2 linked regions of the Lonchura striata genome follow. The protein of the gene in region 1 purifies or fractionates together with the protein of each later gene. This does not show direct contact. Links are inferred from orthologs where the notes say so. Each region holds a gene or a part of one and is shown on either strand. Other genes may lie near its edges.

The links. Proteins that work in one complex are often made in the same cells at the same time.
Region 2: the proteins of MED9 (region 1) and MED25 purify together in Homo sapiens (co-immunoprecipitation; 3 studies listed by BioGRID and IntAct, with this or other methods). This does not show direct contact. The link is inferred for Lonchura striata from reciprocal best matches to the Homo sapiens genes MED9 and MED25.

Annotation. Positions count from the first base shown.
Region 1 is NC_134618.1:15,400,174-15,407,712, forward strand, and holds the start of MED9 (mediator of RNA polymerase II transcription subunit 9), read left to right. Parts: upstream 1-4,494; coding exon 4,495-4,631; intron 4,632-7,539.
Region 2 is NC_134640.1:2,260,997-2,268,844, reverse strand, and holds the start of MED25 (mediator of RNA polymerase II transcription subunit 25), read left to right. Parts: upstream 1-4,752; 5' UTR 4,753-4,809; intron 4,810-4,993; 5' UTR 4,994-5,018; coding exon 5,019-5,152; intron 5,153-7,301; coding exon 7,302-7,347; intron 7,348-7,848. UniProt on the Homo sapiens protein: Component of the Mediator complex, a coactivator involved in the regulated transcription of nearly all RNA polymerase II-dependent genes.

The DNA of each region.
Region 1 (7,539 bases):
GGGGGAAATTATTCATTTCATTCATCACTAAGTGTCTTTGTTCATGCTTTAGCTGCCTCACATGGAGTTTTCACAGGCTGCTCATTCAAACCCTTCTGTTGAGGAACTGATTAGCGGGGGAAAAAATCCAGAATGAAAATTAGGGAAAACTGCAGCGTACCACCAGCTCCTCCTGAGAACAGTGGATGGGCTGACACGGCCCTCCCATCCGAGATGGAGACCTCAACAAAACTGTCAAAGGATTTGGGAAGAACTCCATTATAAGGACATAAAAAGGTCACCAAAGTCACCCCCTTGGAACAAAGGTCTCACTGCTTGGAGCTCCATAAGGACGGATGAAGATTTGGGCACACCAGCACTGTTCCTCACCTGAGGTGAACATTGTGCACACCCACAATGCATAAAATCAAAAGCCTTCTCTTCCCTGCCAGGCCTGTCAGCTGCTCTCAGCTCTCCCTGCTGCCCTCATTAGGGGTATGAACACACTGTCATGCTACAGACCACAGCTCTACTATGCCTTCGTGCAGGCTGACACCACACTCTCATCTGACCAATTCACCAGCATCTCCAGTGGTGGAGGAGCCTTTCAAACTTTAACCAGACTGTGAAATACCTTTGCTGTCCCCTGGACTTGCCACAAGACACGACAAGCCCCAAAGGACAGAGATGGGTCACCTGGGGAAGCTGGAGGAGCTGTTTCCACAAGGAAGAGAAGGCAAGAGGCAGGGACACATCACCTAGACCAAGCTGTGTTCCAGCTCTTTGGGAACATGACACTCCAAATAGAAATGGAAAGGCAAAAAGAAATGCTGATTGACAGCACTTTAGGTACTGAATGGTATCTGCATGTTGTCACCTGCTGGAACAACTGCCTGACTCAAATATCAGAGGCAGGCATCCAGCAACCCAGCAATTATTGCTGCCCTCCTCCAGAAAGCCAAGGGGAGAATTAAAACCAGCACAGTACTGAGGGGAGTGTCCCCCATGGAGCCTGAATCAACTCCTGCTTTAGAAACAGCCCTTAAAAAGAGGCAGAAATGAACCATTCAGCCCCATCTGAAGGACACAGCATCCTGTGCCTCCTGCTTGGCTCAGTCAAGGGCCATAAATACCACCAGCCTTCCCACAGGGATCTGCTCAGCGGAACCTGGGCTCCCCCAGGCTCCTTTACACATTCCAGCATCAGTTACTGAACCAGGATCTATTCCTGACAGTAGGAACAAAGTGAGTGATTGCATCTGCTATATTTAGAGCAAACAGCCAATACCCCCGCATTTAAATGGTTGCCAGCATTCTCATTAGATGTATAAATAGCCTCTGTTTGTTTTCAGAAAGAAATTGGTTTAAAAAAGAAAACTACCTTCCTAGTCCTCAGCCTGTAACCATTGAGCAGGGAGGCCTATTTCATATGAAAAATTAAATAATGCTTTTTGTCTAAGCCAAACCAGGAAAAAAGCTCTCAGCTGTGGCTGGTATTATCCATGCTGTGATGCTTTGTGTGGGTATAGGGGTTTGAACACAAGGGCAGCACTTAACTGAAGCAAACTGAGGCTGCTTGCTGCAGAGGGGCATCACCCTCCCTCTCCCAGCCTTGACCACTCACCATCCCGAGCCACCTCTTCCCCCTGCAGGTCAGTCACACCAGAGCTCCCTTTCTTCACAGAATCCCAGAATGATTTGGGTTGGGAAGGACTTTAAAGATCACCTGCTTCCAATCCCCTGCTATGGGATACCTTCTGCTAGACCAGGTTTGCTTCAGACTTTAACCAGCCTAGCTTTGGACACTTCCAGAGATGGGGCAGCCACAGATTCTCTGGACAACCTGTGCCAGGGCCTCACTCTCAGAGGGAAGAATTCTTTCCCAATATCCCAGGTAACCCTGCCCTCTGGCAGTGGGAAGCCATTCCCCCTTGTCCTGTCACTCCAGCCCTTGTCCAAAGTCCCTCTCCAGCTCTCTTGGAGCCCCTTTAGGCAGTGGAAGGGGCTCTGAGGTCTCCCCAGAGTCCTCCAGACTGAGCACCCCCAGCTCTCTCAGCCTTCTCCTCTTCTTCTCCCTCTCCCAGCTCCACAGCAGTCCCAGCCCTGACATCACAATTCTGTTCTTCCTCCAGATTCCTCCAGTCTCCAGCCCAGGCTCTCATCCAACACTCCAGCTTGCTTTTCCTGCAACTGATGCTGGCCATGCTTCCTCCCTTGAGCAGAAAGTCTGGTCCCACATAAACATCTGTCCTTAAGGCATTTCAAGGATCACATCCCCATCCTCCAACCCATCCAACCCCCATTTGCATTAAAGTCAAACTGAGGACCCCAAACAACAAAAAAATACATTGGAAAGCTGGGATATAAGAGACAGCAAAACCCCACTTGTAGTTATTTACACAGAATAATGCAATTTCCCCCTCAGATTTGGCTTGCAAGAGAGGGATCTATATAGACTTAGGACACCAAGTGTGCTGAGGGGCTGGGAGCCACAGCGAGGCCACGGATAGCTCCTGGGACCACCGGGTGATTCCTGGGATCCCTGGATGGTTACTGGGATGTTTTCTGGGACCTCTGGATGGTTCCAGTAGTCCCTGAATGGCTCCTGGGTCACCTGGATGGTTCTTGGCACCCCTTCTCTTCACCCTGCCCTTGGGGTGCGGGATTCCACAATCTCTGCTTCCTCCAACCCCCCACCTCCTGTGTGGGGCTCGGGAGGGAGGTGGGATCATTGTGGGGGTGTCAGGGGAGGATCCCTGGGGATCGCAGGGGGATCACTGAGGGGTGCAGGGGGGTGTAGGGAGAAGCAATGGGGGCACAGAGATGATCACTGGTGGAGTCTCAGGATGATCACTGGAGGTTTCTGGGGGGAACACTGAAGGATCTCAGGGGGATCACTGGGGCACAGGTGGGATCACTGGGGAGGCACATAGAAGGTATCACTGGGAGGGATCATTGGAAGTTTCAGGGGGATCACTGAGGGTCTCAGAGGGATCACTGGAGGTCTCAGGGGGATCACTGGGGTTCTCTGGGGGATCATTGGATGCTTTAGGAGGGATCACGGAGGGTCTCAAGGGGATCACTGGAGGACTCAGGGATCACTGAGGGTCTCAGAGGGATCATTGGATGTTTTAGGAGGGATCTCTGGAGGTTTCAGGATGGATCACTGAGGGTCTCAGAGGGATCACTGGAGTTTTAGGAGGGATTACCGAGGGTCTCAGGGATCACTGGAAGTCTCAGGGTGATCACTGGGGGTCTCGAGGGATCACTGGAGGTTTTAGGAGGGATCACTGAGGGTCTCCGAGGGATCACTGGATGTTTTAGGAGGGATCACTGAGGGTCTCCGAGGGATCACTGGAGCTTTCAGGAGGGATCACTGGGGGTCTTTGGAATCACCGGAGGTTTCAGGGGTCTCTGGGGGACAACTGGAGGTTTTAGGAGGGATCACTGAGGGTCTCCGAGGGATCATTGGATGTTTTAGGAGGGATCACTGGAGCTTTCAGGAGGGATCACTGGGGGTCTTTGGAATCACCGAGGTTTCAGGGGTCTCTGGGGGATGACTGGAGGTTTTAGGAGGGATCACTGAGGGTCTCAGAGGGATCATTGGATGTTTTAGGAGGGATCACTGGAGGTTTCAGGAGGGATCACTGGGGGTCTTTGGAATCACCGAGGTTTCAGGGGTCTCTGGGGGATGACTGGATGTTTTAGGAGGGATCACTGGAGGTTTCAGGAGGGATCACTGGGGGTCTTTGGAATCACCGAGGTTTCAGGGGTCTCTGGGGGATGACTGGAGGTTTTAGGAGGGATCACTGAGGGTCTCAGAGGGATCATTGGATGTTTTAGGAGGGATCTCTGGAGGTTTCAGGATGGATCACTGAGGGTCTCAGAGGGATCACTGGAGTTTTAGGAGGGATCACCGAGGGTCTCAGGGATCACTGGAGGTCTCAGGGTGATCACTGGGGGTCTCGAGGGATCACTGGAGGTTTTAGGAGGGATCACTGAGGGCTTCCGAGGGATCACTGGAGGTTTTAGGAGGGATCACTGAGGGTCTCAGAGGGATCACTGGGGGTCTTTGGAATCACCGAGGTTTCAGGGGTCTCTGGGGGATGACTGGAGGTTTTAGGAGGGATCACTGAGGGTCTCCGAGGGATCATTGGATGTTTTAGGAGGGATCACTGGAGCTTTCAGGAGGGATCACGGGGGGTCTTTGGAATCACCGGAGGTTTCAGGGGTCTCTGGGGGATGACTGGAGGTTTTAGGAGGGATCACTGGGGGTCTCTGTGATCACTGGAGATTGCAGGAGGGATCACTGGCGGGGTGCACAGGCAGGATCACCATGGAGGCGTTTAGGGGGGATCACTGTCAGTTCCGGCGGGCATCACGGGAAGTTTCGGGGGGATGACAGCGGGCCGCGGGGCACGGCCCCCGCCCGGCCCGGCGCTCCGTGAGGGCGGCGCGGCGGCCGTGAGGCGGAGCCGGGCCGGGCCCGCCCCGCTCCGTCACTGCCGGGCCGCCATGGCGTCCGGGCCCGCGGGCCGCGCCGCCGAGGAGCCGCCGCCGCCGGAGCCGCCCGCCGAGCAGAAGCCGCCGCCGCTGCCGCCCGCGCAGGAGGAGTTCTCCTTCCTGCCGCTCGTCCACGACATCATCAAATGGTAACGGCGGGCACGGCCGCCGCCCCCCGCCCCGCCCCGCTCGGCGCTGCCTCGCCGCAGAGCGCCCGGGGCCTGCGTGAGGAGCAGGGCTAAGGTGTTCTCCCAGCCGGTGGCGTTCTCCCAGCCACAGCACCCTCGGGGGTGCAAAGGGATGCCCGCCCCCTTTAGTGATGCTCACCCGGCTCCCGGCATCCACAGGTTGCTTTGGATGGGAAGAAGGCAGTGGGGTTCCCTCGAAGTTGTTTTTTCATCCTTAGCATCCTCATAATGCCTTGAACACGGAGCTGAGTTATTGGACCCTCCCTCAAGTGATGCTCCCACAGCCCTCACTTCCCCAGGATGCCCTGAAGAGGTAGCGGTCACCCTGCAAGTGATGCTCTCCATCCTCCCCAGCATCTCCTTTGCCCTTTTTCTCTCACCTGGAGTTCCTGGGAAGAGTGTTGGAGAGAGCTGGCACAGCCCCAAGTGCATCTCCACTCTGAGTGGTGCCAGGGTGGTGTCAGGGTCACCTGAGCAGTGCAGATGCTCCCATGGCTCAGGTACACTGCCCCACCGCTAACCCCAGAGCAGGAGCACTGTGTGCCCACTGGGTTATTGCTCCAGAGAACTGTGCTCTTTGGCTGATAACAGCCTCAGGAAGCACAGGCAGTGTGTCAGGAATGCAGCCCATTTCTGGGAAGTTGTAAAAAGGGGGATGGCTTCCTCAGTGGGACATACACTGTTCTCTTCCCAGCTCAAGATAAGCACTGTACAGGTGAAAGGTGCTGGTACAAGAATCCTGAGAACTGATGTGTTTCTGGGTCAGGATAACCCCTCCGGAGATGCTCATCTGAATTCCCAGAAAGGGGATGTCTCTGCCATGGAAATCCATCCAGGCAGGCTCTGTGCTCTCACCTGGGCAGGGTGAGGCAGTGGGCATGGGAAGCATGAATTGATTTCTTCCTGCCCTCTCCCTGTGCACTAGCTGAGGAGCTGATTTGTGTCCTGCTGATGCTTCACTTGGAGCAAACATGTCTGAAAGGTGAGGGAGGTTCATCCTTAATGGCTCTGCAGCCCAAGCAGCCCAATCCATGGGAATTAATCCCTTTGACACGCCAGTCCAGAATGGGCATGAGAACACAAACACTGTAATTTCACTCAGTCTCCTCACTGTGCTAGGTGTAGGCCATCAGGCTGCTCCCTAACCTTGATTCTCTCTGATCTGTGCAGACCACAGAGTGAAGCTAAATCCCCTGCCAGGTGTGTGCATGTACATCACCAAAGTGGGCAGTAGCCATGGGCTGAGACCTCCCAGACTGTGATGTGTCACTGATCAGGTTGTAGTGACTCACAGATGACAGTCCCAGGGATATCTTGTGCCCTGTCCCACCAAGCCACCCACTCCTGCTGCCCAGCTACCTCCCTTGGCTTTGTTTTTGGCCTTTCCTGGGTGGCTTGAGCCGACGTAGGGGCTGAACAGTGTGGCAGAAAGGTGGCACCACAGTGGCCAGCGGTGGGATGTTGTGCCTCCTGTCCCTGACAGATGGCAAACGGGCTGTCCTCTAACACAGCCTCGAGTGGCAGAGCCCAGCCCTGCTGCTCTGACACTGACTCAGCTGTGAGGACACATCTCCAAGGTGACTCTGTGCTCCGGAGCGAGGATGTATCGCGTAAATTTGCTGACATTCAAGGATGGGTGCTGTTTCCTGTTGTTTGGGTCTGGAGAAAGTTTTCCTAAACAGAGTCTGCTGATGTTTTCAGCCTTGTACAGTCAACAGCATCACTGCTGAGGTCCCACTGTGTGGCTCTGCCAATGGTGGGTTGTGCTGGTGTAGTGAAGGGCACTGTGCCTTAAGGCAGGTTTTGTGCCCAGTGTATCATTTATCAGGTTAGGAGCTGTGGTTGGATGCTGTGTTGAATCCTGCAGCTGCAGGCTCTTGCCATACCTTCCCACTCCCACATCTCCATGCTCCCAAACGGGGAATCACTTCAGTGGCTTGATGTAGCAGGAAAACTACCCATCAGGAGTAAAAAAATGCACCAACCCTGAAATATTTATCCCTTTGGGTCAACCAGCAACAGGCAGCTGTCAGTTCTCTTTGAGTGGGGAAGGGGATGGGATGTGAGGAGGACACCCCTGTCAAAGCCAGCCTGCAGCTGTGGTGGATGAAAGGCAGTGTCACCCCATCCTTCCCCAGATGTGCCATGGTTGTGTGTGTGCTTCTGTATTTTTCCACTGCCAACCTGGCCCTGAGTGCCTGCATAATGGGGAGACATTATAGTACCAGCTGCAGTTTTATTTAGAAGGGAATAATGAATATTTTGTTCCAACAGGCTTTTGAAACAAGCGGCGGCCATCTGCTTAAAAGTTTTGCTCTCAGCCATGTCACGATTCCCCAAAGTTATAATCGAGCACCTCTCTGCCCTGGTCATGCCAAGCAGATTTATTTTTAGGTCTGGCTATTGAACAGGCTCCCAGTTTTTCAAAGACCATTAGAATCCTGCTCTCCCTATTAACAGGCATCCTGGAAGCGGGGATTTGCTTTTGCCTGGAATCAGTAAAACTTCTTGCTGGTGCTAACAAAGCTGAGTCAGATACTAATGAGGGTTCAAGGGCAGACGCTGCCTCAGACAACACTGAGCCTTGAAAAGCACAGAGCTGGCTGCAGAGCCAATTCTGATGCTCTTAAAAAAAACACCACAAACCAGCCCAAAAAAAACCCACTGCTTCTCTTTTATTAAGTATAAATCCCCAGAGACTCATTTGAAAGCTCCCAAGTACCATTTTCTCTGCCTTTGGACACTCTCTGACACTTTGGGGAACAGTTTCTGTTTTCTGCTGTCAAGCTGTTTGGTTGCATTGATTTTTTTTGTATTACAGCAGCAACAGGTCACGGGTGAGACTGAGATCTTTTTTTCCAGGTGACTA
Region 2 (7,848 bases), on another chromosome or scaffold:
GAACGCGCCAATCAGGGAGCGGCATGCAGATCAGGGCGCGCGGCGCGCCAATCAGGGGGCGGCATGCAAATCAGGGCGCGCGTCGCGCCAATCAGGGGGCGGCATGCAAATCAGGGCGCGGGGCGCGCCAAACAGGGAGCGGCATGCAAATCAAGGCGCGCGGCGCGCCAATCAGGGGGCGGAATGCAAATCCGGGCGCGCGGCGCGCCAGTCAGGGGGCGGGGCATGCAAATCAGGGCGCGCGGCGCGCGAATCAGGGGGCGAAATGCAAATAAGGCCGCGCGTCGCGCCAGTTAGGGGGCGGCATGCAAATCAGGGCGCGCGGCGCGCCAATCAGGGGGCGGCATGCAGATCAGGGCACGCGGCGCGCCAATCATGGGGCGTCATGCAAATCAGGGCGCAGGGCGCGCGAAACAGGGAGGAGCATGCAAATCAGGGCGCGCGGCGCGCCAATCAGGGAGCGGCATGCAAATCAGGGCGCAGGGCGCGCGAAACAGGGAGGAGCATGCAAATCAGGGCGCGCGGCGCGCCAATCAGGGAGCGGCATGCAAATCAGGGCGCGGGGCGCGCAAATCAGGGGGCGGCATGCAAATCAGGGCGCAGGGCGCGCGAAACAGGGAGGAGCATGCAAATAAGGGCGCGCGGCGCGCCAATCAGGGGGTGGCATGCAGCTCAGGGGGCGGGGCGCGCGAAACAGGGAGGGGCATGCAAATCAGGCCGCGGGGCGCGCCAATCAGGGGGCGGCATGCAGCTCAGGGGGCGGGGCGCGCGAAACAGGGAGTGGCATGCAAATCAGGGCGCAGGGCGCGCCAATCAGGGAGCGGCATGCAAATCAGGGCGCGGGGCGCGAGAAACAGGGAGTGGCATGCAGATCAGGGCACGCGGCGCGCCAATCATGGGGCGGAATGCAAATCAGGGCGCGGGACGCGCCAATCAGGGGGCGGCATGCAAATCAGGACGCGCGTCGCGCCAGTCAGGGGGCGGCATGCAAATAAGGGGCGGTATGCAAATCAAGGAGCGGCACGGAAATCAAGCCGCGGGGTGCACCAATCAGGGGGCGGCATGCAGATCAGGGGCGGACACGCGAATCAGGGAGCGGCATGCAAATCAGGGCGCGGGGCGCGCGAAACAGGGAGCGGCATGCAAATCAAGGCGCGCGGCGCGCCAATCAGGGAGTGGCATGCAACTAAGGGGGCGGTATGCAAATAAGGGAGCGGGACAAGCGAATCAGGGAGCGGCATGCAGATCGGAGGGGCTGCGCCAATCAGGGGGCGGCATGCAGATCAGGAAGGGAAACGCGAATCAGGGAACGGTATGCAAATTAGGGCGCGGGGCGCCAATCAGGGAGCGGCATGCAAATCAGGGAGCGGGGCGCGCGAAACAGGGAGCGGTATGCAAATCAGGGCGCGCGAATCAGGGAGCGGCATGCAAAATCTTGGGGCCAATCCCCAAATTGGGTGATTTTTGGATAATTTGGGGGGTTTTTTTGGGGTGATTTTGGGGTGATTTTGGGTGTGATTTCGGGGTGCTTTTGGGTATTTTTTGGAATGATTTTGGGGTGATTTGGGGGGTTCTTTTTGGGGTGATTTTTGGGCTGATTTGGGGTATTTTTGGGGGTATTTTTGGGTGTGATTTTGGGGTTTTTTGGGGTGATTTTGGGGTTTTTTTTGGGATGATTTGAAGGGGTTTTTGGGTCGATTTTGGGTTTTTTTGGGGTGATTTGTGGGTTTTTGGGGTCCCTCACCTCCAGCGTGTCACGGTCGGGGCCGGGGGGGAGGGGCCAGCAGGGGGCGCCCATCCCCCCCCCGGGGCTCAGCAGCCAATCCAGGAGCGGGAAACAGCCCTGGGGGCGGGGCCGGAAAAGGGGCGGGGTCAGGAAAGAAGGCGTGGCCAGGAAAGGGGCGGGGCCAATCAGGGGAGACAGGACAGAAATGGAGGAGGAGCTAAAACTGGGGGCGGGGTCACCCCAGGACCCCCAAAAATGCCTCAGAGCCCTCCCAGTAACTCCCAGTAACTCCCAGTAAGTCCCAGTTGGCCCTCCCAGTGCTCCCAGTGCTCCCAGTTACCCTTTCCATTGCTCCCAGTCCAAACCAGTTTATCCCGGTCCCTCCCAGTTCCTCCCAGTAACTCCCAGTGCCCCCCAGTCTGTCCCAGCCCCATTTCCAGTGCTCCCAGTAGCTCCCAGTCCCACCCAGTTCCCCATCCCAGTCCATCCCAGTTTATTCCAGTTTATCCCAGTCCCTCCCAGTTTGTCCCAGTCTGTCCCAGTCTCACCCTCAGCTCCCGTTTCAGCCTCTCCTCGTTCCGCACCGGCAGCAGCTGCTCCCGGCCCAGCAGCAGCACCTGGAAACTGGGATGGACTGGGACAAACTGGGACAAACTGGGAGGGACTGGGAGGGACTGGGATGGACTGGGACAAACTGGGATGGACTGGGAGAAACTGGGAGGGACTGGGAGGGACTGGGAGAGACTGGGAGGGAACTGGGACAAACTGTGACAAACTGGGAGGGACTGGGGGGGACTGGGATGGACTGGGACAGACTGGGAGGGACTGGGAGGGAACTGGGACAAACTGGGAGGGACTGGGACAAACTGGGAGGGACCGGGAGGGACTGGTCTATACTGGTTTATACTGGTCTATACTGGTTTATACTGGGCAGGCTCTCACCAAGGCGCCGAAGGCGGAGTCGAGGATCTGGGCGGGGGCGGGGCCAAAGCTGAGCCCAATCAGGGTCAGGCTGGGGGGGGACGACCCCTGAGTGACCCCTGAGTGACCTCTCCCTGACCCCATGACCCCCTGTGACCCCTCCCTGACCCCATGACCCGCCATGACCCTTGAGTGACCCCGTGACCCCCCATGACCCCTCCCTGACCCCGTGACCTGACCGCAGCCCACCCATGACCCTGTGTGACCCTGTGACCCCTCCCTGACCCTGTGTCACCTCCCATAACCCTGTGACCCCCCGTGACCCTGTGACCCCTCCCTAACCCCATGACCCCCTGTGACCCCTCCCTGACCCCATGACCCGACCGTGACCCACCCATGACCCTGTGACCCCTCCCAAGACCCCGTGACCTTCCTGTGACCCCTCCCTGACCCCATGACCCCGTGACCCCCCCGTGCTCCCCACCCTGACCCCATGACCCAATCCCTGACCCCGTGACCCCGTGACCCCCCATGACCCCATCCCTGACCCCGTGACCCCGTGACCCCCAGCTGACCCCGTGACCCCCCCAGTGACCCCTGGGTGCCCCCTGACCTGTCCGGCTGTCCGGCCCAGCCCAGCCGGGCCGTGGGCGTGGCCGCCTCCCGCAGCTCCGCCCCCGCGGCCGCCCCGAAGAGCCACGCCCCGTGCAGGGCCCCGACCAATGGGAACGGCACCTGCGGGGGTCAAAGGTCACCTCCCGAAAAAAGGGGGAGGGGAGGGGAGGGGGGGGCGTGGCCTCACCTGGGGGCGGGGCGGGCGGCAGAACAGGGGGAGGCCGCTGGCCGTGGCCACGCCCACCAGGAAGGCCCCGCCCTCCTCGCCGGACATGGCCACGCCCACTCGTGCGGGACACGCCCCTTTTCGAGCTAAGCCACGCCCCCTTGTAATGGCCACTCCCTCTTAAACCCCGCCTCTTGCCTACAAACCCCGCCCCTTGCTCATAAGCCACGCCCCTTTACTAATAAACCCGCCCCTCGACTTCAGCCACGCCCATTTGTCCTTAAGCCTCGCCCTTTGATATTAAACCCCACCCCTTTGCTCTTAAGCCACAACCCTTTGCTTTAAGCCACGCCCTTTACTCTCAAACCACGCCCCTTTTGCTCTTAAGCCACGCCCATTTGCTAGTAACCCCGCCCCTTTGCTTATAAGCCCCGCCCTTTTGCTATTAAGCCACGCCCCTTTACTATCAAGTCCCGCCCCTTTGATATCAAGCCACGCCTCTTTGCATTTAAGCCACGCCCCTTTAGGGTAAACCCCGCCCCCTTTGCTCTTAAGCCACGCCCCCTTGCTTTTAAACCACACCCCTTTGATCTCAAGCCACGCCCTTTGCTCTTAAGCCACGCCCATTGGATATAAACCCCGCCCCTTGTCTCTTAAGCCACGCCCCTTTGATCCTAAGCCACACCCCTTCGCTTCAAACCACGCCCCTTTGCTCTTAAGCCACGCCCCTTCGCTTCAAACCCCGCCCCTTATCAGTCAAGCCACGCCCCTTGGCTCTAAAGCCACGCCTCCTGATTCTAAACCCCGCCCCTTTTCTCCCAAACCCCGCCCCTTCCTTCCAAACCACGCCCCTTTTCCCACAAACCACGCCCCCTTTCCTCTCAAGCCCCGCCCCTTCCTTGGCCCCGCCCCCTCCCTGCCCGCGCGCGCTCCCCGCTCAGTTGGCGCCACTCGCCGCCATTTCCCGCGCGGGGCACGCCGGGAGCGCCGCGGTTGCCGCGCAACGGCGGAAGGGGCGTGGCTTCCCCTACAACGCGATTGGTCCATGAGTCGCAACGGCGGGAAGGGGCGTGGCTTCCCCTGCAACGCGATTGGTCCATGAGTCGCAATGGCGGAAAAGGCGTGGCTTATTCTGCAACGCGATTGGCCGATGAGTCGTTACTATAGCAATGCGGAAGGGGCGTGGCTTCCTTATTATCCTCTTCAATTCCATTGGTCGATGAGTCGTTACTATAGCAATGCGGAAGGGGCGTGTCTCCTTTCCTCCACGCTGATTGGCTGAGGCAGGCGCAACGCCCGCGTCCCTCCTTTCCGCGCATGCGCCGCCGCCCGGCGCGGACGCGAAGGAAAACCCCTTCCTCCTCTCCGCGCGCCGCCGCCGGTACCGACCCCGGGGAGTTGTGGGGGGGGGGGGAACCGGGAGGGGGGAAGTTAATTAAAAACCCAAATTGCGGCACCGCCAACCCCGTGAGAATGCCGGGCGGGGTTGAGGGGGGAGCTGCGGGCGAGTCGCCGCTTCGGGCTCGGTTCCGGGGAGTCACGGCGTTGTTGTTTCCCCCCCGCAGGAGCCGGCCCCCCCCGCGGGCCGCCATGGTCGTGCCCGCGCTGGAAGGCCCCGCCCCCCCCGCCCTGGTGGCCGACGTGGTTTTCGTCATCGAGGGCACCGCCAACCTCGGGCCCTACTTCGAGGCTCTGCGCAAGCACTACCTGCTGCCCGCCATCGAGTCAGCCTCATTAACATATTCATTAGCTAGTTAATTAGCGGGGCCCTCCCCCTAATAGATAAATGAGGCCCCGCCCCAAAAGAATTAAAGGGAACCCGGTGTAAAGTAATTAATGGGATCCTGCCCCAAGCACTACCTGCTGCCCGCCATCGAGTCAGCCTCATTAACATATTCATTAGCTAATTAATTAATGAGAACCCTCCCCATATAGATAATTGAGGCCCCGCCCCAAAAGAATTAAAGGGAACCCCGCTATAAAGTAATTAATGGGAGCCTGCCCCAAGCATTGCCTGTCTGTGCCATTGAGTGAGAGTTAATTAGCGATTTAATTAGCTAATTAATTAGAGGGACCCCTCCCCATAATGATTAATGAGGCCCCGCCTCAAATTAATTCAAGGGAACCTGTCATTAATTAATGGGAACCCATCATAAATTAATGGGGATCCTGCCCCAAGCACTACCTGCTGTCCGCCATCGAGTCAGCCTCATTAACATATTCATTAGCTAATTAGTTAATGAGACCCCTCCCCATATAGATAATTGAGGCCCTGCCCCAAAAGAATTAAAGGGAACCCGGTATAAAGTAATTAATGGGATCCTGCCCCAAGCATTGGCTGTCTGTGCCATTGAGTGACAGCTAATTAGCGTGTTAATTAGCTAACTAATTAGAGGGACCCCTCCCCTAATAGATTAATGAGGTCCCATCTCAAATTAATTAAAGGGAACCCGTTATAATTTAATTAAAGGGAACCCCGTTATAAAGTAATGAATGGGATCCTGCCCCAAGCATTGCCTGTCTGTGCCATTGAGTGACAGCTCATTAGCATGTTAATTAGCTGATTAATGAGGTAATTAATTAGAGAGACCCTTCCCCTAAATGGTTAATGAGGTCCCATCTCAAATTAATTAAAGGGAACCCGTTATAATTTAATTAAAGGGAAGCCAGTATAAATTAATTCATGGGATCCTGCCCCAAGCATTGGCTGGCTGTGCCATTGGGTGACAGCTAATTAACATGTTAATTAGCTGATTAATTAGCTCATTAATATGATAATTTATTAAAGGAACCTCTCCCTAAATTATTAATGAGGCCCCACCTCAAATTAATTAAAGGGAACCCGTTATAAATTAATTAAAGGGGATCCTGCCCCAAGAATTTCCTGTCTGTGCCATTGAGTGAGGGCTAATTAGCATGTTAATTAGCTGATTAATTAGCTAATTAATGAGATAATTTATTAGAGAGACCCCTCCTCTAATAGATTAATGAGCCCTCGTCTCAAATTAATTAAAAGGAACCCGTTATAATTTAATTAAAGGGAACCAGTTATAATTTAATTAATGGGATCCTGCCCCAAGCATTGCCTGTGTCTCCATTATGTCAGGCTCATTAGCGTGTTAATTAGCGTGTTAATTAGCATGTTAATAATTGGGACCCTTCCCCAAATTCCCCCAAAAATTCCCAAAACCCCCAAATTTCCCCAAAACCCCCAAAAAATTTCCAAAATTCCCCCAAAACCCCTCCAGGACCCCCCAAAATTCTCAAATTTCCCCTAAATTACCCCAGGATTCCCCAAAATTCCCAAAATTTCCCCAAAAATCCCCAAAATCTCCCCAAAAAATCCAAAAACTCCCCTAAATTTCCCCAGGACCCCCAAAAATTCCCCAAAACCCCCCCAAAATTCCCAAAATCCCCCCAAAAAATTCCTCCAAAATTCCCCCAAAAATTCCCTAAAAATCCCCCAAAAATTCCCCAAATTCCCCCAAAAATTCCCCAAAAATTCCCCAAAAATTCCCCAAAAATTCCCAAAATCACCCCAAAACCCTTCAGGACCCCAAAAATTCCCAAAATTCCCCAAAATTCCCCAAATCCTCCAAAAAATTCCCAAAATTTCCCACAATTTCCAAAAATTCCTCCAAAATTCCCCCAAAAATTCCTCCAAAAATTCCCCAAAAATTCCCCAAAAATTCCCCAAAAAATTCCCCAAAAATTCCCCCAAAATTCCCCCAAAAATTCCCCAAATTCCCCCAAAAATTCCCCAAAAATTCCCCAAAAATTCCCCAAATCACCCCAAAACCCTTCAGGACCCCAAAAATTCCCAAAATTCCCAAAAATTCCCAAAATCTCCCCAAATTCTCTTTGCCCCCCCAGGTATTTCAATGGGGGCCCCCCCGCGGAGACCGACTTCGGCGGAGACGTGAGTGGGAATTAAATTAATTGATTTAATTAATTTTATTGGTTTTATTTTATTTATTCTTATCGTAATTTATTTTATTTTCTATTTTATTTTATTTATTGATTTAATTTTTTAAAAATTTAATTTAATTTATTTTGTTGTCTTGTATTACGTTGTATTGTGTTTATTTTGTTTTCTTTATTTTATTTTGTTTTATTCTCTTTTTCTTTTATTTTATGTACTTTAATTAATTCCCATTTTAACTAGCTAATTAACATGTTTATTAATCAGTTTGGGGGCACCCAGTACAGCCTGGTGCCTATTTTATAACATTTAATTGAATATAATTTAATTAATATTTAATTAACCAAAGTGGGGGCCCCCAATACAACTTGGTGGTTGTATATTTTAATTAATTCCAATTTTAATTAGCTAATTAACATGTTTATTAATTAGTTTGGGGGCACCCAGTACAGCCTGGTGCCTATTTTATAACATTTAATCGAATATAATTTAATTAAT